4 linked regions of the Elephas maximus indicus genome follow. The main gene of each other region encodes a partner of the protein of the gene in region 4 in a complex. Links are inferred from orthologs where the notes say so. Each region holds a gene or a part of one and is shown on either strand. Other genes may lie near its edges. The genes, in order: NDUFAF1, TMEM126B, surfeit locus protein 1 and cytochrome c oxidase assembly factor 1 homolog.

The links.
Region 1: cytochrome c oxidase assembly factor 1 homolog (region 4) and NDUFAF1 share a complex: the UniProt entries of both Homo sapiens proteins name them as parts of the mitochondrial complex. The link is inferred for Elephas maximus indicus from reciprocal best matches to the Homo sapiens genes COA1 and NDUFAF1.
Region 2: cytochrome c oxidase assembly factor 1 homolog (region 4) and TMEM126B share a complex: the UniProt entries of both Homo sapiens proteins name them as parts of the mitochondrial complex. The link is inferred for Elephas maximus indicus from reciprocal best matches to the Homo sapiens genes COA1 and TMEM126B.
Region 3: cytochrome c oxidase assembly factor 1 homolog (region 4) and surfeit locus protein 1 share a complex: the UniProt entries of both Homo sapiens proteins name them as parts of the MITRAC (mitochondrial translation regulation assembly intermediate of cytochrome c oxidase complex) complex. The link is inferred for Elephas maximus indicus from reciprocal best matches to the Homo sapiens genes COA1 and SURF1.

The regions. Positions count from the first base shown.
Region 1 is NC_064828.1:14,641,908-14,649,436, reverse strand, and holds the start of NDUFAF1 (complex I intermediate-associated protein 30, mitochondrial), read right to left. Parts: upstream 3,011-7,529; 5' UTR 2,936-3,010; coding exon 2,811-2,935; intron 1-2,810. Other genes in the region: RNA polymerase-associated protein RTF1 homolog, read left to right, coding at 3,182-3,379. UniProt on the Homo sapiens protein: As part of the MCIA complex, involved in the assembly of the mitochondrial complex I.
Region 2 is NC_064825.1:36,040,627-36,048,222, forward strand, and holds the start of TMEM126B (complex I assembly factor TMEM126B, mitochondrial), read right to left. Parts: upstream 3,151-7,596; 5' UTR 3,125-3,150; coding exon 3,044-3,124; intron 1-3,043. Other genes in the region: DLG2 (disks large homolog 2), read left to right, coding at 5,093-5,111. UniProt on the Homo sapiens protein: As part of the MCIA complex, involved in the assembly of the mitochondrial complex I. Participates in constructing the membrane arm of complex I.
Region 3 is NC_064827.1:5,193,626-5,201,333, reverse strand, and holds the start of surfeit locus protein 1, read right to left. Parts: upstream 3,131-7,708; 5' UTR 3,070-3,130; coding exon 2,959-3,069; intron 2,696-2,958; coding exon 2,644-2,695; intron 1,169-2,643; coding exon 1,035-1,168; intron 952-1,034; coding exon 869-951; intron 253-868; coding exon 61-252; intron 1-60. Other genes in the region: SURF2 (surfeit locus protein 2), read left to right, coding at 3,131-3,208, 3,293-3,447, 4,254-4,357, 5,519-5,698, 5,926-6,080, 6,947-7,030. UniProt on the Homo sapiens protein: Component of the MITRAC (mitochondrial translation regulation assembly intermediate of cytochrome c oxidase complex) complex, that regulates cytochrome c oxidase assembly.
Region 4 is NC_064826.1:106,440,931-106,448,472, forward strand, and holds the start of cytochrome c oxidase assembly factor 1 homolog, read right to left. Parts: upstream 3,059-7,542; 5' UTR 2,661-3,058; coding exon 2,611-2,660; intron 1,889-2,610; coding exon 1,833-1,888; intron 1-1,832. UniProt on the Homo sapiens protein: Component of the MITRAC (mitochondrial translation regulation assembly intermediate of cytochrome c oxidase complex) complex, that regulates cytochrome c oxidase assembly.

The sequences.
Region 1 (7,529 bases), on a different chromosome or scaffold from region 4:
TCACTGGCCACCCCAGTGCTGGTACGATTGGCACATAAATGGCCACAGTGTCAGAGATGAATATGTACACGGGTCCAACAGCATGGATTCTCACATTTCAAGGCTGATTTACCCATTGCCGTCATCAAATGTTTGACATGCCGCCAACAGAGACTAACGTTGAGCCCCTACAGGGCAGTATTCCTCAAAGAGATTAGCTGGTCACTTGGTGGCAAGTTAAAAACATTGGATCCTCCCACCATGGAAGGCCACTGATCTGTTGTGACAGGAAAAAAAACAAAAACAAAACACATGTATTTTGATTCTCTCCCAGCATTACTATCAGAGGGATTATGAAGTGCTCGGTGCCCTGACATGGGGTCCCACATAATACTGTATCAGTCCAGAGTGCCTGCTTTACAGCAAAGGAGGTATGGCTCATGACCACGGTTATATTGCATTCCACGTGTGTCAGTTACCTATTACTTCATAACAAATTACCCCAAAACTTGGTGACTTAAAACAAGAAACATTTGTTATTTCACATAGTTTCTGAGCATCAAGAATCTGGGAGCAGCTTAGCTGGATGGCTCTGGTTCAGGGTCTCTCATGAGATTGTGGTCAACATATTAACCAGGGCTGCAGCCATCTGAAGTCTTGACTGGGGCTGGTAGAGTCACTTCCAAAAGGATTCATTCACATAGCTATTGGTAGGAGCTTCTAGCCAAGTGGATCTCTCCACAGGGCTGCTTGAGTGTCCTTACAACACAGCAGCTAACTTCCTGTAATGAGCTAGGAATCAGGGAAAATGAGAGAGAGAAGAAAGAAACCACAGTATTTTGAATGACCTGGTCTTGGAAGTCGCATGCCATCTTATCTGCTTTATTTGTTAGAAGTGAGTCACAAGACCAGCTCACGCTCAAGGGGAAAGGAATTAAGCTCTGTCTTTTGAAGGGAGGAGTCCTGGTGGCACAGTGGTTAAGAGCTCAGCTGTTATCCAAAAGGTTGGCAGTTTGAATTCACCAGCTGCTCCTCGGAAACCCTACAGGGCAGTTCTACTCTGTCCTATAGGGTCATGAGTCAGAGTTGACTCGATGGCAATGGGTTTTTGCTTTTTGTTTTTTTTGTGTGTGTGTCAAATAATTTGCAGATCTGTTTTAAACCATCAAACCACATTACTCAGAAGCTGCCTAATAGAGCATTGAAATGGCCTGTTGAAGCACAAATTCAGAGGCACTACTTTATGAGGCTAGGATGCCAGTTTCAGGGTGCAGTATACACCTTGAATCAAAGATCTTTTTATGATGCTTTGTCCCCAGTAGTGAGAATACATGGGACTGGTTCGTAAGGGGTAGAAGCAGGAGTGGCCTCACTTATCATCACTCCCAATGACCCACTTAGGACATTTGTGCTTCCTGCCCCACAACTTTGGGCTCTGCAAGATTAAAGTGCTCCCCAAAGGAGGAAGACCTCCACAAGGGAACACAGCAAGGATCCTATTGAACTTTAAGCTACAGCTGTCACTTGGGCACTTTGGTCCCTCCTGTATAGGCAAGAAAAGGAGTCACCATCTCAGCAGGAGAAACTGATCCTGATCAGAAAGAAGACTGGGCTGCCGTTACACAGTGGAAGCAGGGCGGAAGGTTTTTGGTACCTAGGTGATCCACTTGGACACATTTTGGTACTCTCTTACCAACTTGTGACAATGAATGGACAAGCGCAGCAACTCTGGCCTGGGAAGGGCACGGTGACCAGAGGTCAGATCTCTCCAGGGTGATCATCTGTCACACCACCAGGTAAGATACTGAGATAACTGACCTTTTTATCAACTGTACTCAACATGTATAAAACTGAACTCATTCCCTACACACATCAGACCTCCAAACCTTCTCCTCTCCTGTGTTATGTTGACTAAGGGCCCACTAGCCACACACTTCCTAAACCAGAATCTGAGCCTTATCTGGGGACCTAGCACTCTCTTATCCCTGCCCCAACTAATCTCTAAGTCCTGGGGGTTCTACCTTCCAAATTATTAAGAATCTGCTCACTTCCCTCCGTTCCCATTGCTTCTTCTCTAGTTCAGGACACCATCATCTCTTGCCAAAATGATACCAACAGCCCACGTGGCCTCCCTACCCTGAGTTTCACTCCCTTCTAATGCATTCTCCATACTGCGGCCAGAGTAATCTTTTAAAAACACAAATCTAATCATGTCTTTCTTCGGTTTAAAATCTTTCAGTATTTAAGTTCGAATTCTTAAATGTTGTTCATCAGGCTCTGAAAGATGTGGCCGCTGCGTCCCTCCTCCGCCGTCATCTCTCACCTCATTCCCACACACCATACTCTTTGCACCCACCATAATGAACTTTCAGCTCCCTCAACCCAACACTCTGTATGATCACTGGGCCTTTGCCCCTGCTGTTCTCTGTGCCTGGAACAGCCTTCCCCCCCACTCTCTGGGCTAACTCAGGTGCATCCTCCGGGCCCCAGATCACCTGTCACTTGCACAGCCCTGGCAGGCTCCATCCCTCAATGGGTGTCTGACACTTAAAAGGCTGGAGATGAGTGAGCCTGCTCAGAGTGGACTCAGATTCTTTGTTTTTTTGTTTTTTTTTAATTGTGTTTTAAGTGAAAGTTTACAAATCAAGTCAGTCTGTCATACAAAAACTTATACACGCCTCGCTAACTTATAGACGCTCTCCCCCTAACAAGACAGCACACCCCTCCTCTCCACCCTGTATTCCCCGTGTCCATTCAGCCAGCTCCTGTCCCCCTCTGCCTTCTCGTCTCCCCTCCAGGCAGCAGCTGCCCACAGAGTCTCACGTGTCTACCTGAGCCAAGACGCACACGCCTCACCAGCATCATTTTCTATTCTATAGTCCAGTCCAATCCCTGTCTGAAGAGCTGGCTTCAGGAGTGGTTCCAGTCTTGGGCTAACAGAGGGTCCAGGGGCCATGCCCTCTGCGGACCTCGGAGGCTCCAGCCCTCGCCAAGTGGGGACGCCGCCGAGCTTCCACTCGGCTACAGCGACACGCCCAAGTCCGCCAGAGGCCGACGTTACGCAAGCGACGGCCGCCCTCCGCCCAGAGCCAAGTCCGCGCGCGGTCCCGCCTCCCACGCTGCGTCGGGGGCGGGATGGGGCGGGGCGCCGGCGAACGGCGTGCTACGAAGTGGGCGGAGCCAGGGGCGGAGCGGAGCGCGCATGCGCGGTCGCCTTTGTGTAGGTCGAGCGGCGACGGCGGCGGCGGCAGTGGCGGTCCCACTGGCAGGCGGGCTAGAGGGGAGTCCGGGCGGCGTCCGGCGTGAGAGCCGGGGGACCACCATGGTAAAGAAGCGGAAAGGTCGGGTAGTGATCGACTCGGACACGGAGGACAGCGGCAGCGACGAGAACCTGGATCAGGTGAGGACAGGCCGCGGAGGCGCGGGGCTGGCGGGCGGGAGGGCTGAGTCGGGGCCACGGCGGCCAGGAGCTGGCCGGGCCCGGGGCCTCCCGACCCGAGCGCCCAGCCCGGCCCGCGCCCTGCCCGCCGCTGCCGCCCCCTTCCTGTGTTCCCCCCAGCGCCGGGGCCCTCGGCGTCCGGCCCGGGCCTGGACACGGAGCCCCGAGGACTTGGCGCCTTGGGCGGGGAGGCGGGGCAGAGACCGGGCTGCTGGGCCTTGGGCTCGGGCGAATGAAGGGGGCCGTGATCCGCTGGGGCCCGGCCGGGGCGGCGTGCTGCGGGCCGGGCGATCCGAGCCCGGAGACATAGGAAGTATCGCCCGCCAACCCAGGAGACTGGGAGGTTTTGGAGGAGGTGCAAGGGTGGGGCGGTCAGCGTTGGGGGGAGGGGGCGAGAAGGTGTGGACTCTGGAAGATGAAGTTTTTCCGACAAGGGGGTGCAGACGGAGAGGAGGGACGCTTGTAAATGTTCCGGGGAACCTCTGCCATGCTTGACGAGGAAGACTTAGCTGTGGGCGCGAGTCTCTTTAGCGACTAGGGTCGTTTGTGGTTGAGAAGGGTTCCCGTTAGGATGTCAGACTGGAGAAAACTCTGGGGCGGAGGAAAGAGGGCAGATACTGTCAGAAGTGGAGAACTGTGTAGGGTGGTGTGGAGGGGCTGTGGCAGAAGCCTCTCGATCCTTGTCATGCAGCATCCCCAGAATTCTTTCTGACTTTAAGATTGTGCAGGAAGCATTGAAAGTAACTTTTGGCCTCAGTGTCTTAGGGTTGCTAGACCTGCCTGTATTCTCTAGAAAACACTGTAGGGAGGAAGCTGTCCTTTGTTGCCCTACTCTAGTGATAACGGGAGGTACGAATAGGATTTTCCATCATGTTTTATAAGCAATGATATAAAGAAAGAATATGCAAGAAGGTAATCCCATAAACCAACCATTGCCATCGAGTCGATTCCGACGCATAGCGACCCTATAGGACAGGGTAGAATTGCCCCATAGAGTTTCCAAGGACCGCCTGGCGGATTCAAACTGCCGACCTTTTGGTTAGCAGCCGTAGCATTAACCACTACGGCACCAGGGTTTCCAAGAAGGTAATAGCTTTATAAATTGAGTAGAGAGATTACTGAACTTGGTGTCTACAAATTTGAGTTCTAGGCTGGGCAGTGCTACTTTCTAGGTAAGTGTCTTTGGCTTTAACAAATCAGGATATAACACCAGCTTTGTCTATCCTGATTGGGCTGTTGAAAGAATCGAGTGTAAGAATCATCGTGGGTACAAACATTTGCAGACTATAAAGTTTCTCTGTAAATGTCTTCTTGGACATCCTTTGTATTAGGCCAGGTACCTCAGGACTAAAACATTAAGGAATTGAAAGAGAGGACTTTGTAAGGAAGAAGGACTGGAGAGATGTTGAAGAAAATAAGGCAGTTTTGAAAAGAGTGGTAGGGAGGTGGGGAAGTAATGGGGCCTGTGGAGAACTATCAGAGGGATAGAAACTTTGTTTTGGGATAGCAACCGAAAGGGTAAATTGAAAGCGTTCTCATTGAAAGCCTCCAGATACTTAACAAAAATATTAAAACTATAGCCTTGACTGTAAAAGTTCAGTTGATAGATAATTCTAGACTGGCAGTTAGGAGGATTAGAATCTATTTTTACTATTTTCTCCTCATCTAGAATGGTAATAACATCAGCTACCATTTACATAGTGCCTAGGATGAACTAGACACCGTAGTTAAGTCCTTTATTTATATTATCAAGTTCTTAAGTTATAATGAAGTTGGTATTATTTTCCCCATTTTACAGATGAGGAAAAGGGGGACTGAAAAAGTTAAGTAAACTTTCACAGCTTCATACAACTAGAAAGTAGTGGAGTTGATATTTGAACCTAAATCTGTACTACTACTACAAGGCCTTTACTCCTCCTGCTGTATGGGCTCAATCTGTTGATATTCTAATTTTTCATATTACAAAATGAGAATAATTTTTCCTGGCCATTTTCCAGGTTGCTAGAATTCATGTTTACCAAGTACACTGAGTAGTTTAGAGGAAATTGGTACATCAGCCTAAAAGGTTATTAAGGGGTCTTCCTTGGTAAAGCACTCTCAAGACATCTGTTCTAACGATGAATGAACTAAGCTGCAAATTATCCTGTCCTTAGTCGTTCTCCACAGAATTCTGATGAATGAAATAAGTTGAGAGCTTCCTTTTGTGGTAGAGATTTGCCTGATCCACAAAGAGCTTTTCCAAGTGGGAACTGGAGGGGATTGCAGCTTTAAATCCAACTCTAAATATCTGTTTGTAAAAATAAACTAGCATGAAATTTGTAAGTAATACCTAATGCATTTTAGCAGCATTTTCAACTTTAACCACTCATTGGCAGTCTTGTAATCAGGTGGGAACCAGATCAAGATTCCCTCTGCACATCCTAACAGAGACACTGAAAAAAAAAAAAAAAAAACCAGAGACACCAGTACCTTCTAACTATCTGTTCAGCACCATGTCAGGCCCTCAAGGGAATCAAAGACGAAGATCTCTGCCCTCTGGAAGATTTCTCCAGAGGCCTTCAGCAGAAATTCACAGTCAGCTAGGCTTAGGGGTCTTTAGGAATACTCAGAACAAAATTAATGCCTTTGGGATCTTTCCTGACCAAGATGCCTTGGTCTGCTTCTGTCTAGTTCTGGATCTTCATTGGAAATGAAAGATCAGCTTTGCTGTCTTACAAGAAGATACAAACTGTGGCAAATCTCTGAGTGTTTAGTGTGTGAGTGGAGCATAGTTACTAAGAATATACTTTGTCTCTGGGTTTTCCAGATGGAAATCTAAGCCATTATGTCAGAAATATTACCTCAACATAGTCCTTACTGAAAGTGATACAGGTGAACCTTCTAGGGATTTTTTTTTTCCCCTTGTGGTAGGCTGAGGACCACCTGTGTCAGAAGGTGCCTGGGCAGGAGGTTCTACAGGCTTCCATCCCACATCTACTGAATCTGACCCGCTGGGGATAGAGCCTTGGACTCTGCGTTTTTTGTTTTCCTAAATTTTATTTATTTTGTTGTTGAGAATATGCACAACAAAACATCCACCAATTTGATAGTTTCTACATCTACAATTTAGTGACATTGATTATATTCTTCAAGTTGTGCATCCATTCTCACCTTCCTTTTCTGAGCTGTTCTTTATTAACATAAACTCACTGCCCTGTAAGGTTCCTATCTAATCTTTCAAGTTGCTGTTGTCAATTTGATCCCGTATAGATAGTTCTTAAAAGAGCATAGTGCTCAAGGCAGACCTTTTTTACTAGTTAAGCAAAATGATTGCTTGGTTTTAAGATGATTTCAGAGTGTATTTTTTGGTTTACAGTTTAAAGATTATCTCAGGGCAATAGTTTCAGGGGTTCATCTACCCCACCTGGCTCCAGAAAGTCTAGAGTCCATGAGAATTTGGAATTCTGTTCTGCATTTTCCACCTTTTGATCAGGATTCTTCTATGGAGTCTTTGATCAAAATGTTCAGTAATGGTAGCCGGGCACCATCTAGTTCTTCTGGTCTCATGGCAAAGGAGGCAGTTTTCTGTGGAGGCAATTAGCTACACATTCCATGTCTTCCTTATATACCTGACTGTCCTTCCTCTGTTCCCCCAGGTGAATAGAGACCAATTGTGCATTGGATGGCTGCTCGCAAGCTTTTAAGACCCCAGACTCTATGCAGTAAACCAGGAGTTAGAACAGAAGCACTGAACATGTTATTAGGCCAGTTAACTGGGCTGTCCCATGAAACCATGCCCCTAAATCTCCAAACCAAGGAACCAAATCCCATGAGGTGTTTGCTTGTACATAAGCAGCCTCAGCAGCTACCTTTTTTTTTTGTCATTGTAGTAAATATTTATCACACAACTTTTGCCAATTCAACTTTTTACAAGTGTAAAACTTATTGACAGCAATTACAATAGTCAGCTGTACAACCTATTCTTATGAGATTTTTCCATCACCATTAACCCCCTTTTTTCCTCTCCCTCCCACCTCTGGTAACCACTAATAAACTTTGATTTCTATACATTTGCCTTTTCTTGTCTTCTTATATAAGCGAGGTCATCAATATTTGTCCTTTTGTGATTGGT
Region 2 (7,596 bases), on a different chromosome or scaffold from region 4:
GCCTCAGAAAGGGGCTCTTATGAATGTTTTGCTCTGGGTTAGACTCTAGGACCTTTGTGAAAGTCCTAATAATATCTGTTAAATCTTCTACCACTCTGGCATTAGGGGATTCAAGAGTTGTGTTTAATTTCATTTAAATGAAGAAACATGACATTTTTAGCAAATCCTAACTTGTGGTTGCAAATGTTTACATATTATATTGGTAAATGGAAAGTCTCGATGCAAAATTCAGTGCTTTTTCCTCTCCCTATTTTTTCTTATATCCTCCATATCAGCCAGTGAATAAATAAAAATCTACGGTCCATTCACAAATTTACATCAATCTACGTTTTAACAACTTTTATAGTCAAGGGCATATACTTAATCTCAAATTTCAGAAGTCCTGGGCAAGAGAATTAGAGTGGATTAGGCACAACAAGGAGTCCCTGGGTGGAGCAAATGGTTAAGATAACTGAAAGATTAATGGTTCAAACCCATCCAGAGATGCCTTAAAAGTAAGGCCTGGCGATCTGCTTCTGAAAGGTCACAGCCTTGAAAACCCGATGGACTGTAGCTGTACTCTGCATACATGGAGGTTCCATGAGCTGGAATCAACTGGATGGTAACTAACAAGCACAATGAGGAATCCCTGAGTGGTGCAAAAATGGTTAATGTGCTCAGCTGCTAACTGAAAGGCTGGCGATTCAAGTCCACCCAGATGTACCCCTGAAGAAAGGTTCGACAATGTACTTTCAAAAAATCAGACATTGAAAACCCTATGGAGCACAGTTCTACTCTGATACAGGTGAGATTGCCATGAGTCAGAACTAAATGGACAGCAACTAGGCTGGATGCACAATGAGCACAGAAGATACGAAGTCAGTGGCTCTCAACCTTCAGTGGGGAGTTTGTTTGAAATGCAGTCTCTTGAGCTCCCTCTGGAGATAGATTCAATAGGAATGGGGTGAGTCCTAGAAATCTGCATTAATAGCACCTCAAGTGCTTCTGATGCCAGTGGTCAATGGACACATTTTCAACATCACTAAAATACATGTTTGCTGAATGTGTGATCTGTTCCAACATCCTAACTACTGAAGGCCATCCATAGCATCAAAATGAAGGTATGGGCGCCTCTGAACGTTCTTACGGTTTTACACACTGAGTAATAATGGACCAGTTTCTTTCACTGTGGGAGCTATGGTGGTGCAGTGGTTAAGAGCTCAGGCTGCTAACCAAAAGGTCTTCAGTTCGAATTCACCAGCTGCTCCTTGGAAACCCTATGGGGTAGCCCTATTCTATTGTACAGGGTCACCATGAGTCAGAATCGACTTGACAGCAATGGGTTTTTTTTTTTTTGGTTTATAGTTAAGATTTTGCCTCTCTCTGATATCCGAATTGAAAATGGAAAGGAAAAGATAGTAATGTCTACAAAAAACAAAACAAAACCTGTTGCCATCGAAATCGATTCCAACTCATAGCGACCCTATAGGACAGAGTAGAACTGCCCCATAGGGTTTCCAAGGAGCAGCTGGTGGATTTGAACTGCTAACCTTTTGGTTAGCAGCCAAACTCTTAGTATCCAACCTGTTTAATGTACTAGAAAGGCAAATGTCAGTACCGTGATGATTTACCAGACACCTTGGATACATTTTTGTTTTATTGTTGGCCACTACATGGAAATTCTCCATCCCTTACAAAAAAACTTCAGGCAATACCTTACAACAATCTCCTATTCAGTTTATACGGCCAGCTCTGAACAGAGAAAAGAGATACCAAGATTATGATCCTAAAATACTGAAACAGAACAAATATTTATTGAGTGCCTAGTTCTTTGCAAGACATTGTCAATACAAAACATTGTCTTCATTACACTCGGGAAAGCAAAAAAAAAAAATAGACCGGTAATTTTCAGAAAGACTTTTACAAGAATTGAAATGTAAAGATTTTGCTCTAATCAACATTTTATCTAAAAATGAGCTAGTCCAAGTCACTCAACTGGCCACCACACTTACACAAGTGCGCTTATGAGTCAGAATGACTCACAGCAACTGGGATAGTCTGCAATGCTTTTTACGGTTTTTGTAGTGCTTTTTATGTGTATTATTTCATCTGACCTTCAGAATTTTATTTAACATTCACTCATCATTTATGGAACACCTGGTATATGACACACACATGACAGACACCTGGATAATCAAATAATAGTCATGTCCTTAGGAGCCCACCAATAGCGGAAATCAGGACAAAAAAAGCAGACAATTAAAATGCAGAATGAGGTTGCCATAAACAATCAAACAAAAAAGGTCTACTTAACCTACCAAGGGCGAAGGTTTCCTGGAGGAAAGGTTATTTTGGCAAGGATCCCAGAATTGGGGGAGGGGGAAGGGTTAGGTCGGGAGAGAAGAATTGAGGGAGGTTAGTCTGGAGAAAAGGGGCAGGGACTATTCCAAAACCAAACCCACTGCAGTAGACAGGATTCAGACACATAGCACCCCTACAAGACGGAGTAAAACTGCCCCATAAGGTTTCCAAGGCTATGGTCTTCATGAAAAAAGACTACCACATCTTTCTCTTGCAGAGCTGCTGGTGGGTTCCAATCTCCAACCCTTAGATTAGCAGTCTACTGGTTAACGACTACACCACCAGGGTTAAAGGAAAGAAGGGTACAAAGGCCCAGAGGCAAGAGAAAACAAGCTGCAGACCATCAGGACTAGACTTTATGTCTTCCCTCCAAAGTCCCTGGGTGGGGAAAACAAACGGTTTGAAGTTCAAGGTGCCTCGGGAGAAAGGCCTGACAATCTACTTCTGAAAAATCTGCCATTGAAAATCCTATGGAACACAGCTCTACTCTGACAAATATGGGATTGTCACGTGTAGGAATCCATTCTATAGGCAGCTGGTTTACTGGTAGTCTCTCGGACTCTTTCCAATAGGAACTAGGAGCATAATTGGTTGCACCCTGCGTGGACTTGGAGCTGTTCTTGTTTTTCAAATCCCCTTTACGTGCATCATCTCAGGAGAGTCCCCAGAGTCACGACCCACACCACTCTGGATTTCCGCCTACCTTGGGCGCTTCCCCAGCTCCCACCGGCACCACACTTACATCCCCCAGCTGAGACCCAGCTGCCCGCCCGAGCGCCGCCATTTTGGCGGCTCACGTGACCCATGGGTGGACCCGCGCCCAGAACACCCTGGGCGGGAAGTGGTGCAGGCTCACGCCTCTTGCTCTCAGCCTGGGTCCGCCCCCACCCAGTCGAAAGCCGCGCCCTCCATGGCGTCTAGAATTTACGGCCACTCATTGGCTTCGATAGTGAGCCCGCCCTTCTGCTAGTCCCGCATTCCATCCCCGGCCCTTTGTCAGCCCGGTGGTGTTTTCTCCTCTTATCCTGAGGGGAGAGTGGAGTTAGCCGAACCTGTGCATGTTGCTGCCCGCCGTCCTCACTTCAGGAGCGCTCCATTAGCTGGGGTCGAGCTCTTTGCCCCTTTCAGTCTCTGAGGAAATTCGTTCCCTATGGCCTGGTCCTTGTGTTAAGGCTCCGGCTTCTCGGGCACCTCGTCTCTAGAACCCTCACCGGCCACCCGGGGCCGCCAGAGTACCCCTTACTAGCTTCCTCCCCTCGCAGCCGTCTGACTCCTTTCCCCGTTCTTTAGTCCCCTCACATTCCATTCTCTCGCCCCGCTTGGGAAGGAACCAGAGAGAAATTTGGCACCCCCCGCTCCCCTACTCCAGAAGACCCCCTTGTCAGCCGGTGTTTCGGGTTGGGGAGCGCTGTGAGGAGGCCAGGCGCTCTTTTGGGCACGCAGTATCTCCCAGACCAGCAACCCCCGACCCTCCAGACTCCATGTCTTAAAGCCAAATTCGAGAGTTATATAATATTTAGTGCTGCTGTTCCTCCTGCCTGAGGAAACACTTCATCGCGTGGAGGGTGCAGAACATTTCAGTGCTCTTCTATATAAGAACGGGGTGTGGGCCGGGGTGGCAGCGGTGGCAGAGAGATTTCTTCTCTCTTTTTTTTTTTTTTTTGCAAAAGGAAGGTGGGTAGTTTGGAAAAAGATTAAGAGAAAGAGTGGATGTGGAAGGCAAGCAGCTGAACTCTCATTTAGGAAATCGCGGACCGTTTGCATAGCTTATGCTTACATGCCTAATACAACTACAGCGTCTCTGAAAACACCTTTCGGGGGAAGGTTTGGCTTCTCCTGACGAACAGTCTGTGTTTTTCCTTGCCGGATAGGTAGCTGTTTGGATGCGAAGAGATGGCATGATGTGAATGACTCCAGTGTGAAGAAATCTGCTTCGCCAACTCATCCTGCATCAAGTGCCCATTGAGTAGCACTGTCACTTTAATGTCTCTATGCCAAGGGATTGCTTTCCTTCTTTTCAATCCTCTCGGTTAATACATGGGAGGATCAGAATCAGAGGGGCATTAAAGAACAAGCCGTGGGGGGCTTGCAGAGCACAGAAGAAAAAAATGAAAGTGACAGCAAGCTGGATCCTGTCTGACTGAGGGGGTGAGATCCGGAACTTCTGGTCCAGTAAACAGAAAGGGGCCTTCCAGTTTGTTTAGCCCCAGCGAACTGTTCAAACTCACCTACCTTTTTAGACACCAGTGTTTTTTTTTTTGGCGGGGGAGGGAGACGGGTAAGGTTAAATTTCTCTGTAAAGAATTGAGGGTCTTTATAATCAACTAGTTCATCTTTGAACTTGATCATGTATAGAATGAAACATCTGTCTAAATTTGGTTTGTGCCTTAACTGAACTTAGTCATTGAACTTCCAAAATGTTGCTGCCTGAAGAGGAGTTTTAATAACATTTTCTATGTCTACAATACTTTTCTCAGTTTTTTAAATCAGAATAAATATTTTATAAATATCGGAAAACTTGAAAAACTCAGAAGTTATTTTTCTCTAAACCCTGTGGGCAGTGTCAAAAGTTTAACTGAGGAAAAAATACATTATTATTTTCTTTATGTGAAATAGAAGACTCAGCCTGGATTTCAAAACTGAACAGTGAAGTGGTTTGGAACAGTTACCTGGCTCTTGGCATAAATCCAGCTGGATCAAGCTGAGACGTGAAAAGATATCTTGAATCCTGTGGAAGTGGAAAGACCCAAGAATGCCAGTCAAGAGGAAAGGTGGGCTATGAGGCTTCCTCTATAATATTTGTTTCTCCCCTTTTTTGGCTCTGCTATTTATGATTTAAATTGTATTCCATTTGAGGGCAAAATTTTGGTTTGGGGAAATATCTATGGTAATGATTATTCAGTGGTACATCATTCAGTAATATTTTGCTAAAGAAAAAGTAAGTAGGACTATAGTATTTAATTTGGCGTCAATTCGGTGGTAACCAACAACAACATAGTATTTAATTATAGACGTTTGTGATTTTGTAAATCAGGCTGTCCAAATCACCATTTATAATAAGAATATATTCAGCGCCACAGATTTGGGATTTTTTTAGCTTGTTTTCTTAGATCGTTAAAAATTACTTTTAATCAATCTTTAAAAAACAAACAAACCGGTACAGTGGAGCTTTTCCCCATGGATTTAATATTTATCAAGCTAATTACATAGTTGCAAGAGATAGCAAAGTAATTTTGTTTGCCCTGAACAAACTTAGAAATTTACAATTTATCTTTTGATTTAAAAAATAAATTTCACATTTATTTATACTCTAATGTAAATCTTCACTTTTTGTAGTAAAGCACAACTTTGGTTAACTGTTGTATTTTTCTAGATACATGCCTTATCCAGTGGCATAATTGGCAAGTTACCCAAAAGAGGCAAACCCATAGCTTCTCCCTTCACCTCCTCCCAACAACTTTTATCACGGGGAATGAATCAATATCCAGTGGGTTTCTGAAGTATGGTCTATTATTGGTCAGACCCTGGGGATTCACATTAGCCTAGATCTGTACTTAAATTTCTTAGCGATACTACTTTCTTTTTTAAATGTGATATGGAAGATCAGATCAACTATAAAGAATTTTTCTCGAGAGTTTTGAATCAAAATTTATTTGAACACCCTTGAACTTTACTATACTGGGCTAGCATAGATCCAAATATTGGCCAGTTGTTGGAGTTGCTACACTCTGAAACTGAAGTTCTCGGTGAACGGTAAATTTCCTGGATCCTGAGCCATTTCCTACCATTGTCAGTGACCAAAAGTAGTGCAACCTGGCCCTAAAACGTGTTTAATCTTTCTATCTGTGAGTTTGGAAGGTGTATTGAGGAAAATTGTAATCAGTGAGATGTTTCATCTGAGCTAGTACCTGTAGTGTTGGAAAATGATACATGAAACCTTGGCAATGCCTAGAACAGTTCTTTGTACACTGGAATTTAAGACTGGGATTGTCCCAGCTACCCTCACATTCACCCTCACCTCCCCCACCCTGATACTATCACTGAGGGAAGTAGCCCCCTCTGAGATCTTGGAGCCACACCTGTGCACACTTGACACAGTTGGTTTATCTGGAATAAGAGTGGTTTTGTGAATGTAGCTAATAAACGATATGGCTCTTCAAGTCATTTAGTTTGCTCTGTCTTTAAATTCTTCCCACCTAAATTTATAGACACAAATTACTCTAGGCAGTGTCCGTTTTGGACTAGCTAATAATTGAATCAAATACATTGTGTGTGGGGTGTGTGTGTGAGAGAGAGAGAAGAGGGAGGAGAGAGCAAGAAAAGTGGGAGAAGAGAGGGGAGAAAGGGATAAAAGGGTAGATGGAAAGGAGGAGGAGGAAGGGTAATTGATGTTCTAGGTATAACTTACCAAGGGTGAACTTAAGGTTTCTAAACCCAATAGACGGCTTCTTAAAAATTTCTATCTTTAAAGGAACTGTTCTAAAAATTGCCAAGTTATTGAAAATTATAATACTTTATGAGAAATAATTTAATGTTTATTCCCACCCTCCCTTCCTTCTTTCTTCTTTTTTCTCTTTTCTTCCCTTCCCTTCCCTCCGTCCTTTTCTTCCTTCTCTCTAACAATGAATTGATTATAATGGATCAAATTTTTTAGGTAATGAACAAGTTCTAATTAGCAAAATAAATATATATTTTGACTATACTAAAGTGTATGTATTATGTAATCTATTTTTCTGAACTGACCTAGTTTGAGAAACATTTTATTTTATTTTTAATATCTTAAGACTGTTAGTATTAAGGTACATATTAGAATACTATAGACAGCTAGCCAAACAAGGTATATTATATTTTTTAAGTGGCTAAGCTTACTATCTGTACTATTTCTGTAAGTAAAAACAAATAAATTATGAAGTATGTTGTTGTTAGTTGCCACTGAGTCAGCTCTAACTCGTGGCAGCCCCATGTACAACAGAACAAAACATCGTCCAGACCTATGCCATGTTCACAATCACTGGTATGCTTGAGTGCCTTCCAGTTTACAGGGCTCATCTTGCAGCATTATGCTGGACAATATTCTGTTGTGATCTATAGGATTTTCATTGAATAATTTTTGGAAGTAGATTGCCAGGCCTTTCTTCCTAGTCTGTCTTAATCTGGAAGTTCTGTTAAAACCCATCCATTATGGGTGACCCTGCTGGTATTTGAAATACCAGTGACATATCTTCCAGCATCATAGAAACCCACAAGCCACTACAG
Region 3 (7,708 bases), on a different chromosome or scaffold from region 4:
CCCTGGAACAGCACCTGCCATGCCAGCCAGCTCCCTGCCCTCCCTGCCTGTTCTACTCACCCCAAGTCAGAGCAGTGAAAGGGGGTGATGACGTAGGCCCCACTCTCGACCGAGGATGAGATCCGGCCAGCATCCCGGGCCTCTCGGGCCGGGTCCACCATGGTCCGGGGCATCATGTACAGCTCCTTGGAGTGGTCAAAGCACCCCCTGACCCTCACTGGCCTGTACTCCAGACTATTCAGCTCCACAGGGCTAAGGTGGAGAGATGGAGAGGGGGCCGCTGGGTTAGGTGCAGAGGGAGAGGGAGCTGAGCCCACACGAGGCCCAGCAGGAAAACTCCCTCAAAGGCCATGGCTGCAAACTACGAAGCCCATAAGGGCCAGACAAGTGAACGTTGACACTGCAAGGCACAGAGGGGGCTGGGGTGGCAGGGCGTGCCCTCTAACAGGCGTTCCTCAGCCCAGCCTTCTGATGCCACATGGGAGGGGCAGCAGAATCACTTGGGGCACCTTTTCAAAAGAACACTCTCACTCCAGGACCCCTTTTGTCAACCCTCACCTGCAGCTAAGCATTGCTGCTCTATGGTGCTGTCAGCATGGGAAAGGGGGCTTCAGGTTCGCTGCACGTGAGACAGGGTGAAAGCCACCAGGGCTCAAGGACAAGATGTTCCTGTATCTGTCTGACAGCCTCAGGCAGCTTCGCAGGGTGGTTAGATTCCAAGAGGAAACCCAGCAGAGAGACTGAGGTTGGTGGGCTCCTATCTGAGGGCCAGGATGTGGCTGACAAAGCCCCGTTGAAAAGGGCTGGGAGGCAAGCAGAAGCTGGGGCTCCGCTGCTGACCAGCCTGGGCAGACGGCCACACACTCACTCTGCGGGCAGAGGGATGGGCTCAGCCATGACTCGAGACTCTAACTCCGCGATCAGCTTCAGCTTCCACTTCCGACGCTGGACCTACAAACACAGCATATGCAAACCTCGAGCAGACAGCAGCAGACCAAAGGCTCAGAGACAGCCGGTTACACACCAGCCTTTACCTGCCATGTCCCCAGGCCAAAGGCAGTCACAGGGATGAGAAGCAAGAGCCACTGGAGAAAGGAGTCGTCCTCCGCCTCGGTGGTTCGTGCTTCTGCTGCAGAACCACCACGCCTGCTTGGCCTCCAGGCCACCCCTAGAGGGAGCAAGAGAGGTGGGCGGTGCTGGCTGCACAACATCGACACTGGTCAGAGCCCAGAACAAACAGGACTGGAGCAGCCAATTCCTCAAGAATTCTCCCTCTGCCGATACTGCCTAAGAGAACATGGCACAGGAGCTAACAGGCCACCAGCCCAGGTCCCACCTCAGTGCCCAGTGCCTGGCACATGGCACAGGCTCCGGAAATGCTGACTAAATTGAGACCCAGGGCGTCTCCCAGGGCTGTCGCCAACCCCGACCCTGCATAACTTCTGTAACCACCGCATGCTTTTTTGATCAAGAATGCGCTAAGATATATCCTACTGTACTAAGAGGAGCTGGGTATTCATTCATATGCTCAAGAAACCTTTAGCAAGCAGCTATGGGCACCACTGGCTACTGTGCTCTGAAGGGAAACACGGTATCTGCCCTGAAGTTAGACGATGGTTTACAAAGCTCTCTTCAAAGCTGCTCCTTTTCATTGCTCATCAGAAATTTAAAGATGGAACAGTACACACGAAGGTGCGTTTTTGCTCTCATAGGGTGACCCTTGGGCATGGCAGAAAAGCAGGCTGGGAGAGGCTCTCAAGGGTCCTTCATTTATGCACAGCCCTCTACGCGCTGCAGAAGACCCTGCTGGACACTGAGAGGCGGCACATAAATGATGTGCTTCAGAGCCCTGGGTTTGAGGCCTGCCTCTGTCGCTCAATTGTTGGGTAAGGTGCTGGGCAAGGTACATAACCTCTCTGAGCCTTCCTGTTGTGATAATAAAGCACTCGCTACAGTATTGGCGGGAAACCCTAGTGGCACAGCGGTTAAGAGCTCCGTCTGCTAACCAAAAGGTCAGCAGTTTGAATCCACCAGGCACTCTTTGGGAACTCTATGGGGCAGCTCTGCTCTGTCCTATAGGGTCGCTATGAGTCAGAATCGACTTGACGGCAACAGGTTTGGTTTTTGGTTTTGACAGTATTGGCAAGGAGCCTCGTGGCACAACGGTTAAGTACTTATCTGCTAACTAAAAGTTTGTGGTTTGCACCCACCCAGCTGCTCCATGGAAGGAAAGACTGGGGATCTTTGGTACGATCCTACACAGGTTGAGTTACCACTGCTAATCAAAAAGTCGGCACTTCGAATCCACAAGCCACTCCTTGGAAACCCTATGAGACATTTCCCTCTGTCCTATATGGTCGCTATAAGTGGGAATCCACTCAATGGCAATGTTTTTTTTTGTTTCGTTTTATAGGATCACCGTGAGTTAGAATCCACTCCTTGACACACAACGACAACCGTATCCGCACAAAACCAAGGCTTGACCAAATGCATTTCAAAAAAATGCGAAGAGCCTCTCCCACATAGAGTTTGCATTCAGTCCGGAGTTACTGACTTTATTTTGATCCCCAGGCCACCCCTGTAACGTGCACGACAGGAAGCAGGATGGCTGTCCCTAAATCATGCCCTGGACACACTCCTCACCTGGGCGTCGGGGTGCCCCAAAGGCGCTTCTCCCGATGGCGCTGCCCGGGGCCTGCGGCGATAGAGGGTGGGCTGACGGCCCCACGCCCCCTCCTCCCCGCCCTCCGCACCCCCCCGGCCCCGCGTCCCCTCCTCCCCGCCCTCCGCACCCCCCCCGGCCCTGAGCCCCCTCCTCCCCGCCCTCCGCACCCCCCCGGCCCCGCGCCCCCTCCTCCCCGCCCTCAGCACCCCCCCGGCCCCGCGCCCCCTCCTCCCCGCCCTCCGCACCCCCCCGGCCCCGCGCCCCCTCTTCCCCGCCCTCCACGCCCGGCTCACTGGCCCCGCGCCCGCCGCACGCAGCAGCAGCAGCCTCAGCCCCGCGGGCCCCAGCCACCACGCCACCATCGCCCCCAGCGGCCCACGAGCGCTTCCGGGGCGCGGGCCCATCTGCTTCCGGGGCACCGCCAAGACCGCCCGGCCCACGTGTGCGCTACGCCGGCGGCCGAAAATGGGCGAGCCTCCGGCCGAGGTGCGCGTCTTCCTGCGCCAGCACCCGGGTCTGCGGCTCGAGCCCGGCGGCACCAAGGTCTGCGGCGGGACGGGGGCGCGGGCGCGGGGCGGGGACGCGGGGCGGGAGCCGGGCCTCTGACCGTGCTGCCACCCTCCGCAGGTGACGTGCACCCTGACGGGCCACGAGCTGCCCTGCCGCTTGCCCGAGCTCCAGGTCTACACTCGCGGCAAGAAGTACCAGCGCCTGGTGCGAGCATTCCCCGCCTTCGACTACGCCGAGTTCGAGCCGCACATCGTGCCCAGCACCAAGAACCCGTACGTGGGCGCCACGTGGGGCGACGGGGCCGCCCACATGGGGCAGAGGGGGGCAGCCACCTCGGTGTGCTCCCAGGGCCCCCACCTCCGAGCCCCCCTGGAAGGGAGCCCACCATCTCCAGGGCCTCCGCTGTGGAGGTGCCACTTCCCGGGCTCTGTGCCAGGCGCTGAGGAGTCTTATTCTCCCCACGCCGGGGGAGAAGAGTTACCTGCGCCAAGTCTGGCTGCTGAAGGGGTAGCATACTCCGGTAACTAAGCCCAGGCCTCCTGTCTGGCTCAGCGCTCCTCTCAAGGAAAGGTCTCTTCATGAGTCAGGAGACCTGGGTTCCAGGTGGGAGGCCGGTGCTGTGAGTCACCTGTGATCCCCGGGGTGTGAGGCTTGTCATGTGTGTTCTGTCCAGTCTACAGAGGAGCAGGACCACTGTGTCCTATTTCGTAAGGCTCCAAGAGATGTCAGCGTCGTATCTATTTGAAAGGAGCTCTTTAGCTGTGTGATGGCTGACGAGGCTTAGGGTGAGCAAGGGGTGGTGGTAGGTGCTCCGTGCCTGGAGCTCTCTGCCTTACTTGATGCCGTGTCTTCAGCAGGCATGATCTCATTCTTGAGCCCTGCTGTGGTGCCTGCCTGCTGCAGCATAGACTCGCTCGGGAGTTTGGAAAATCCCTACACCCAGGCATGCTGTAGACCGTTTCCACCAGACCTCTGGGGATGGGCTTGGTGATTCTCAGATGCAGCCGGGCTGGCGAGCCACTGGCCTGGCTCCTTTCTTGCGAACTGTCCCACAAACCAAGGTGTCCCTGTCCTTCAGGCGCCAGTTGTTCTGCAAACTCACCCTGCGGCACATCAACAAGTGCCCGGAGCATGTGTTGAGGCACACCCGGGGCCGCCGCTTCCAGAGAGCACTGCAGAAGTGTGAGTACCGTGGGTATCCTTCAGAGAACGCAGGGCAGGGCGCCCTGGGAGGCAGAGTCCAGCCTCAGCCACCCTCAGTCACGTGGTGTTTGGGGCACCAGTCCTGACCGTGTGGGTTCAGCTTAGTGGGAGCTGGATGCGGGGCAAGAAGTTGACTCAGAAGCACTTGCCAGCGTGGTTCAGCCAGCACAGGAGACACTGCCAAGGGAGTGACCAACCAGAGGGCCGGCCCTGAACGGAAGGGCTGGGGGGCTCTCCGTGGGTCTCTCTCCAGGTTGAGGCTGGAGGGATGTGAGGAGTGGGGGTCACAGAGAGAAGAGGGGGTCTGTGCAAGTTCTGAGGCACAGAGAGTGTGGCTGTGCCAGCAGCTGTACCAGCGTGCAAGGGGTGGGGAAGGTTGGAGGGGCAGGCCCTAGAGTTGTGGGGCCACAGCCAGGAGTGCACATGGTGGGTGCACCGCTGGGTCTTAAGCAAGCGGGGGTGCTCCAACTCCTGTCCCAGGGCTGCAGTTGCTGAGAGGCATGGACTGGGGGCTGTGGGAAGGCGCAGAGGGACTTCCCCATGTTGAGGACACAGCAGCCTGGTCCCCACACCCTTCCTGAATCAAAGAGCCTCCTCCCCACGCCGGCTGTTCAGCTTCCCTGGGCTGTCAGCGTGTGAGGAGACCGGTGACTCGCAGATCCTCTGTTCAAAGCCTAAGGTTGGCAAGGGCCAGGCAGCCCAGTTCCACTGACTGAGCCACCCATTTAGGGTGGGGTTCTGGGCCACCATGCCTGAGAGAAGACTCCAACCAGGCTGCAGGTGATGGGCTGGTGACAAGCTGGTGTCACGTCCAGGTCGAGCTGCATTGAGAGCCGCATGCCAGCCCTACCTGGGCCTGGCTCATCTGGCCCTCGGGCTGCTCAGCACACCCCCAGCCACGGCGTGTTGTAGCCTGGCTGGAACCAGAGGAAGGGAAGGTGGCGGCCGGTAGACCTGCACCCTCTTCTTGCCCCTTGGCCACAGTCCGTGCTTCCCATCCCCTCTCCATGCCTGGTGGGAGCTGGGCTGGTGGCATGGACCCGCTGCTATGGGGTGGGGGTCTGGGGCCCTGGCTGAGCAGCATCATGGGTCGGCTCAGAGCGCAAGGGCTGTGTGTGCTAACAGGCCTGTTTCCCCCAGATGAGGAATGCCAGTTGCATGGGGTGGAGTACGTCCCGGCCTGCCTGCTGCAGAGGAGGCGGCGGCGGGAAGACCAGGACGGTGGCAGGCCGCCTGGCGGAACGGGAGACTTCTGGGAGCCTGCGTCCAGTGATGAGGGAGGAGCCCAGAGTGACGACAGCATGACAGACCTGTACCCATGTAAGCAGGCACGCCCTCCTCCGGACCCACGCACGGCCTGCTCTCCACCCTTGTGCTTTGCTGTGCTGTGAGTTCTGGACTCCGAGGCTGTCCACGCTCCCATTGCCCACCATAATCAGTGGCTCTGGCTGTCATCCCTCCCACTGCGTGTCATCCTCCCTGGCTGCCCGCTCGCCTCTTAACGCCTTTAGAAGCCTGAGCTTCAGCCGGTTCCCTACTCCTTCCAGCTGAGCTGTTTACCAGAGAGGACCTAGGAGGGGCTGAAAGTGGGGGCAGCACTGACAGCAACGAGGATGATGCAATGCAGCCCCCGAGAGAGGACGACGGGAGCAGAGGGGAGGGGGTGGCCACCACCCAGGTGCTGGTCCGGAAGCGCGGGAAGGTGAGCTGCTCTACCCAACTCCCAGGGCCGCTATCGCAACAGCTTCCGCTAGCAGTTTTCAAATTGTTTTAAAAAATATAGGATCTTTTCCACACGTGAAATTGCAAGCCAACATATAAATGAAAGCGAGCTGGGACTGCTCTGACTGGGGGGGATGGGCGGGCCTCCCACTTGCTTCCTGGTTGTAGCTGCTTGGGTGCCTTCCACGGCACTGGACTCCACAGAACGGCTTGAAAACCGCTGGTCTGAGACTAGTGAACTGAGTTACAGGGTTTTTTGTTTTTGTTTTTGCCATTTTGGAAAAGTTACCTGGGAAGAAAAACCAAACCCATTGCCATGGAGCCAATTCCAACTCATGGCGCCCTCGTGTGTGTGTCAGAGTGGAACTGTGCTCCACAGGGTTTTCAATGGCTGATTTCTTGGAAGTAGATCACCGGGCCTTTCTTCCAAGATGCCTCTGGTGGACATTAATCTTCACCCTTTTAGTTAGCAGCCAAATACATTTCACTGTTTGTGCTACCCAGGAAATCTGAGAAGGTGTTTAATCACTAGGTACCATCCTTTATCTCTGCAGTAGGCTCGACAATGAAGATCTTGGTAGATAAACAGGATCGTGGGCTAGAGAAGTTGCAGGTCTTTCTGCAAATCTGTGAAATGCTGAGCGTGGCCCTTTAGTATGCTCCATGGGGACTCTCTGACTGGCAGCCACACACAGTGGAGCAGGACAGCTGGTGGGGAGTTTCAGAGCAGCACCTCTGGATGTGTGTGGGGTGTGGTAGGGTAAAGAGCCCGAATCACAGAGATTCATGGAGCTCCATCCCCAGATCAGAGAGGCCCTCATAACTGGGATTCTGTTTGTGCCACAGAAGCAGCTGGGCTCACTGAAGAAAAAGGTGAAGAGTCACCACTGCAGACCCAAGAGCTTTAGCTCAAAGAAGCAGTTGGGCTGATGAAGTGCTGGGAAAACGCACATCTCCATAATTTCCAGAGAAATCCCTGAGGCACCTCCCTGTCTTCCTGCTCCTGGCTACCCAGTGTTGTGTGCCCTCCCCACCCACCCTTGCTGCCCTCGAGGCAGGGCCAAGATGGAGGAGTCCCGCCCCCACCCCAGGAGGCTGTCGTCCGGAGGGAAGCATCCTAAGTGTCCTGGAGGGGAACTAGCCTAGCTGACAACAGTGTGGCCAGATGGGACCCCGTGTGGGCTCGAGGACCAGATCATTACACTGCATACAACAAATGCCATTATTTATTTTGATATGTTTCCAAAAATCAAAACGTTTTCAAACACAACTAAGATATAAAACACAGCATAAAATGAGATTTATACCTGTTTCCCATGTAAAGCAAAAAAGTTTTCAGAAGTTGTTTTGCCATAACCAGTTGGTAGATGGTATGTCCCCAGCACCAGCCCGCTCAGGGCCAGGGGAGACAGGCACAGCCACAGCCCAGGCACTGGTGTGGAATGCAGCGATGGCGCCACTTGGCCTGCTTTGCTCGGGGCAGTCCTGCTTTCCACAAACAAGTCTTCAAGCACAGGGCCAAGGAGGACCCATCACCCTACCAAAAAATGGCCAGAGACTGGCTTGGCCAGTGTCATTTGATGGGTGGTCTTCCCGTGTGGACCAAGA
Region 4 (7,542 bases):
TCCGACGTTTCAGTGTCAACAGAAGCACAGCCCTTTTCTTCTACTTACTGTATACTCCTGGTCTTAATTACACTTTAGCTTTTTTCAGTGTATAATCTTGAACAAATACACAGATGGTTAAAATTAGAGGGCACTTCTTTTCTTCTGTACTATTACTCTATCTCTTTCAAAAAACGCCAAAATCAAACAAACTGATGACTTGAAATAAGGGCAAAAACATTAACCAATTTTTAAAACTTTTCTAAAGTGTATATGACATTTGACTTTAATGACTTCTGATGCTGTTAAACCTCTCCTCCCTGTTCCACCTCTAGTCAAATCACTGACTTGACAGTGAATATTGCTGTACATTTATGAACAGCTTCAACAGCCCAGCTTCCAGGGCTGGCCATCACCTGGGAGCAGCTCTCCAGACAGCAGAGAGGAATATGGCATAAAGCAGAACAGGCCTCCTGTCAGTTTAAATCAACAGACATTTATCAGTCTGCTAGTATTCCCTTCTTGTCCTCAATCTTTATTTCCACTTAACTTTTAAGTACTTCCAAATTCAAAAGTTCTCACATGGCTTTTTCTTTTCTTGCAAATTTATCGGGAATATGTGTAGTCATATATGGGAACTACTCACTTCACAATATTCTTCTGAGGCTGGCTGTAAGCTTTATTCCACTCTGACACTAAATTACTCTATAATCCAAAAACAAGGAAAGGAAAAAGGAATCAATTTTCACTGAGTACCCCCCGCACACTGGCCCTGCACTGGGAGTTTTACACGTTACTGTCGTGAGTGAACCCCTTCTATGGAGCCCATCGAGAGGGGCATGGGAAGACAGGCCTGGCAAACTGCTTTTGAAAGGACACATCCTTGAAAATCCTACGAAGCAGTCTACTCCACAAGTCGGCATCAGCTCCACGGCAACTAACACAACAACAACCACTCATCATGTGACTACTGTGAACTACGGCGTCAACGGAAGGGGGGAGCCGAGACATTGTCCCCCACAGATCCGAGCTCTCGGTCTACGCTGGATGTCTGACTGACTTCAGATCACAAAGCCTTCTGCTTCAGACCCCAAGCTAAAAGACCGTAAAAGACAGTAGAGTGAACGGAAATGGAAGAAAATCAATAATTAAGGATTCTGCAGTTTGGAGGAAATCATTTACACTCAATGATTTAAAAAAAAAAAAAAAAAACACCGCCACAATGGCTCCTTTTGCTACGGTTTAAATAGGAAATTATCCCTTAAGTAAATAAACATTCACATGAATCACTCTCTTCTACTTTCAGGAAAAAAAAAAAAAAAAAAGATGCAAAATCTCAGCCCTATTCAGACATGTGTGCTTTCAAACAACTTCAGGAGCAGAGTTGGTTGTGAGAAGAAGCATAACAACGGGCAAGGCCTCTGGCCTCAAGCTCAGTATTTCTGAGGCGTTCTGCCTTCATTAGTACCCTGATTCGTTCAATCATTCCGTTAACAAATACTTATTAAACATACCGAATGCGCCTTACACAGCACCACCTTAAAGGATGAGATGGGTGACAGTGCCAATAACCAGGATCAGGAACAAACAAACTAGGGAGAAACTGCAGTAAACTTTGTCACTATGAACCAGGAAGAGGGGGAAGAAAGGTGCTACAAAGAAAATTGATGCAGTTGCATGGAAAACTCCACAAAATGGTACAGCTGCTGTGGAAAATAGTTTGGGAGTTCCTCAAAATGTTAAACATAGAGTTATCAGGTCAGATCTTCGTATTTACAACATATCAAATTGAGCACATGAAAATTATTAAGTAGTTATATAAGTCAGTTTCACATCAATTAATCTCTTCTTACCTGGGACTTGCCCACAACTTTGGTCTTCGTTCAGAACTTGAAATGCTGGTTCACTGCTTGATTGAAATAGAAGAAGGGAGAGAGGTGCTGAAGCACCCACTCTGGACAGAGCAAGGGCTGAAAACTGCTTGAGCTGGGGACGCAAAGGAGTTCAGAATCCTAGCTGAGGTAAGAAGACGTCTGGGCTGAAGCAGAGACAGACAGTCTGGGATTCTAGCTAAAAAGAAGGTCTAATCTAGAGCAAAACAATGGATTCTACTCCCTATTTCCAAACTATCCTCACAGTTCTGAATAACATGTATATTTTAAAAGTATGTTTATATATGAAAGTGTGTGTATAAAACATTTACCTAAACTTATTAATCTGTTCATTCACCAAATACCCACAGAGCACCTATTATATCTAGACATGATGGAGTGACAGAGAAGTATTTAGGCTAGTTGGGAAGATGAGACGAATGTAAAAAGTTGTATTTTATGTATTATGAATGTATGATCAAACCTGTGGACGCTGAGTCAACTCCAACTCACAGAGACCCTATGTATGTACAGATTAGCACTGGTCCACGGGATTTTCTTGGTGGGTTTGAACCTTTATGGAAGATCACCAGTTCTTTCTTCCATGGTACCACTGGGGGGGGGTATGAACCACCAACCTTTAGGTTAGTAGTCACACACATGCTAACAGTTTGAGCCACCCCAGGAAGGGCTAAATGCCCTAAAAGACAGACAGAGGGCTACGTGAAAAAAGCAATGTAAACCTCACACATATACACACCTATCCTTTAATCTCCCAACGTGTTTTATATTCTTCACAGCACTTTTCATTCTCCACGAAAATGTACATTGCAAGGAGTCAAAGATTTTGCCTTGTTCGCAGCTATAACTCCACAACCTAGAAGAACACCCGGTGTACAGGATATTCTTAATAATTATTTCTTCAATGAGCTATTAACACCACAGTGAAATTGCCATTTAAAAATAACTACCGAGAGTCCAGAAATAAACCCTAAATTTATGGTCAGTTGATTTTTTTGAGAAGAGTACCAATACAATAAAAAGAATAGTCTTTTCAACAAATGGTGGGGGACAACTGGATATCCACATACCAAAAGAAAAAGTTAGGTCCCTTTCTAACATATGAGTAAATCTCGATGGCCTTGCATTAGGCAATGGTTTCTTAAATACAATATCAAAAACATAAGTCAGAAAAGAAAAAGTAGATAAGTTGGATTCAGAATTAAAAATACTTGTGCTGCAAAAGGCACCATGAAGAAAGTAAAAACAACTCACAGAATGGGAGAAAATATTTGTAAATCGTATATCTGACAAGGGATGTGTATCCAGAATATATAAAGAACACTTACAACTCAATAATAAAAAGAAAAAAATAACCCAATTTAAAATGGGCAAAAGATTTGAATAGACATTTCTCCAAATAAGCTATACAAACGGTTCAAAAACACATGAAAAGACGCTCAACATCAGGAAAAATGTAAATCTAAAAACCACAATGAGATACCACTTCACGCCCACTAGGATGGCTATAATCAAAAAGACAGATGACAAGTGTCAGCAAAGATGTGGAGAACTAAGAACCTTTATATACTAGTGGAAGGAGCCCTGGTGGCATGTAGTGGTTAAGCACTTGGCTACTATACCAAAAGGGCAGTGGTTTGAACCCACCAGCCACTCCGCAGGAGAAAGACCCAGTAGCCTGCTTTCCTAAAGATTTACAACCCTGGGGAGGTCAGCACAATTGGACTAAACCAAAAGCAAAGAAGTTTCCTGAATAAACTGAATGCTTCGAAGGCCAGCGTAGCAGGGGCAGGGGTCTGGGGACCATGGTTTCAGGGGACATCTAAGTCAATTGGCGTAATAAAATCTACTAACAAAACATTCTGCATCCCACTTTCAAGAGTGGCGTTTCGGGTCTTAAATGCTAGCAAGCAGCCATCTAAGATGCATCAATTGGTCTCAACCCACCTGGATCAAAGGAGAATGAAGAACACCAAGGACATAAGGTGATTATGAGCCCAACAGACAGAAAGGGCCACATGAACCAGCGACTACATCATCCTGAGACCAGAAGAACTACATGGTCCCCAGCTACAACCAATGACTGCCCTGACAGGGAACACAACAGAGAACCCCTGAGGGAGCAGGAGAGTAGTGGGATGCAGACCCCAAATTCTCGTAAGACCAGATTTAGTGGTCTGACTGAGACTAGAAGGACCCCGGTGGTCATGGCCCCCAGACCTTCTGTTGCCCCAGGACAGGAACCATTCCCGAAGCCAACTCTTCAGACATGGATTGGACTGGACAATGGGTTGGAGAGGGATGCTGGTGAGGAGTGAGCTTCTTGGATCAGGTGGACACTTGAGACTATGTTGGCATCTCCTGCCTGGAGGGGAGATGAGAGGGTAGAGGGGGTTAGAAGCTGGCGAAAAGGACACGAAAAGAGAGAGTAGAGGGAGAGAGCAGGCTGTCTCATTGGGGGAGAGTAATTGGGAGTGTGTAGCAAGGTGTATGTGGGTTTTTGTGTGAGAGACTGACTTGATTTGTAAACTTTCACTTAAAGCACAATAAAAATTATTTAAAAAAAAAAAAAAAAGATTTACAACCCTGGAAACCCTATGGGGCAGTTCTACCCTGCCCTACAGGATCGCTATGAGTCAGAATCGACTCTACAGCAGCAGATTTTGTATAACACTAGTAGAAATGAAAAATGGCACAGCTGCTGTGGAAAACAGTTTGGTAGTACCTCAAAATGTTAAACACAGAGTTATCATATGACCCAGGAATTTCACTCCTAGGTGCATACCCAAAAGAAATGAAAACAGATATTCAAATAAAATCTTGTATAAGAATGTTCACAATAGGACTATTCACAACAGCCAAACAGAATAAACAGCCCAAATATCCAGCAACAGATGAAAGAATAAACAAAATGTGGTATATACATACAATAAAATAATATTCAGCCATAAAAAAGAATGAAGTACTAATACATGCTACACATGGTACTACACTCTATGTATATACTACATTTGATTTTATTCATTCTCTTAGATGTTGTTGTTGTTGTTAGGTACCATTGAGTCAGTTCCGACTCATAGCAATCCTATGTACAACAGAAAAAAACACTGCCCAGTCCTGCGCCATCTTCACAATCATTGTTATGTTGGAGCCCGTTGTTATAGGCACTGTGTCAATTCATCTCGTCGAGGGTCTTCCTTTTTTTTTTTGCTGACCCTCTACTTTACCAAATATGATGTCCTTCTCCAGGGACTGGTCCCTCCTAATAACATGTCCAAAGTATGTGAGACAAAATTTCGCTACCCTCACTTCTAAGGCGCATTCTGGCTGTACTTCTTTCAAGACAGATTTGTTTGTTCTTCTGGCAGTCCATAGTATATTTATTATTCTTTGCCAACAACATAATTCAAATGTGTGTATTTTTTAAAGAACACATAAAAATAACTAATCAAGAAGAAGAATGCTGATGAATTTAACTACATTAAAATTAAAGAACTTCTAAGCAAATAGGGAGCACACTTACGGGTACTTCTTAGACATAACCAAACACCTTGCGGGATTGATTTCCTGGGTTTAAAGGATTAGAACCATTGTCTTGTGGGACATCTCAGTCAATTGGCATAATATAGTTCAGAACATAGTTGCTGCAAAAGACCTCTTTAAAGTGTTAAAAAACAAAGATGTCACTTTGAGGACTAAGGTGAGCCTGAATCAAGCCATGGTATTTTCAATCACCTCATATGAATATGAAAGCTGGACAATGAATAAGGAAGATCAAAGAAGAATTGATGCATTTGAATTATGGTGTTGGTGAAGAATATTGAATATACCATGGACTACCAGAAGAACAAACAAATCTGTCTCGGAAGAAGTTACAGCCAAAATGTTCCTTTGACGCGAGGTTGGTGAGGCTTTGTCTCACGTACTTTAGATGAGTTTTCAGGAGGGACCAGTCCCTGGAGAAGACATCATGCTTGGTAAAGTAGAGGGTCAGCGAAAAAGAGCAAGACCCTCAACGAGATGGACTGACACAGTGGCTACAACGATGGGCTTAAACATAGGAACAATTATGAGGATGGTACAGGACTGGGCATTGTTTCATCGTGTTGTACGTAGGGTCACTATGAGTTGGAACGGACTCAAATGCACCTAACAACAACAGTTCATAAAGCTTATGCTCTACATCCTTGTTTGGTGAATAGTGTCTGGGATCTTAAAACCATGCAAGCGACCATCTAAGATACATACATTGGTCTATACTCATTCAGAGCAAAGGAGAAAGAAGGAAGCCAAAGACTCAAAGGAGAAACTACAAGACTAATAGTCTACATGAACCATGGCCTCATCTACCCTGAGACCAGAAGAACTAGAGGGTGCCTGGCTATCACTACCAGCTGTTCTGATCAGGGCCACAATAGATGAACCCTGGTAGAATGGGAGAAATATGTGGAACAGAAACTCAAATTCCTAAAAAAAAAAAAAAGATTTACTGGACCAGATGAGACTGGAAGACTCACCTAGACTACTGCCCTGAGATACTCTTTAAACCTAGAGCCAAAACTAGCTCCTGAGGTCACCTTTTGGCTAAGTAATAGATTAGCTCAAAAATAAAGAATATCACCCATGAGTACTGTGCTCCTTTAAAAAATGATCTCTATGAGACCATATGGTCAATAATTACTTTAAAACAAAGATGAGAATGTAAGGGGACAAGGAAATTAGATTAATGGAAACAGAGCCACCATAACAAAAAATATTGAGAATGCTGACACACTGTGAAGAATGTAACCAATGTCACTGAACAATTTGTGAAGAAATTGTTGAATGGGTGTAAACCTTTAGTGAAAACACATAAAATATTATTTAAAAAAAAATTAAAGAACTTCTGTTTATCAAAAGACAGTATAGAGAAAGTAAAACCTAAGCTGGGAGAGAATAACTCTTATATTCATAACCAAGCAATAGTATCCAGAATGTCTAAGTTAATCCTACAAACCAATCAGAACAAGCAACCCAACAAACATATAAGAACCATTAAACAGACATTTCACAGAAGACAAATGGCAGTAAACATATGCGAAAGTGCTCAATATCACTATTAATCAGGGAAGTGTAAATCAAGACCACAGAATAACATTGTATGTCCAACAGATTGGTCAAAAATAAACAAATACAACAATGTCAAATGTTGGCAAGGATACAGATCATTTGGAAACACTCATATACTGCCAATGGGAATGTAAATTGGTATAACAAACCTGAATCACAATTTGGAATATCTTGCAATATCCTACAACCCAATTAATTCCACTCTAAATATATACCCTAGAGGAACTTTTGTACAGGTGCATCAGGAAATGTACAAAAGACTGTTCACAGCAGCACTGTTCAAAATAGAAAAAAAAATTGGAAACAATTCAAATGCTCATTGACAGGAGAATAAATAAATACATGGTGGTATATTTACACAGAGCAATAAGATAAAATAAAATGAATGGACTATCATTAAAGGCGCACTTACAGAAAGAAAAGAGCCTTGGTGGCACAGTGGTTAAAGCAATCGACTGCTAATTGAAAAATCAGCAGTTCAAAACTGCCAGCTGCTCCAAGGGAGAAAGATGTGGTGATCTGCTTCCACAGAGATTTACAGCCTTGAAAAGCCTATGGGGTC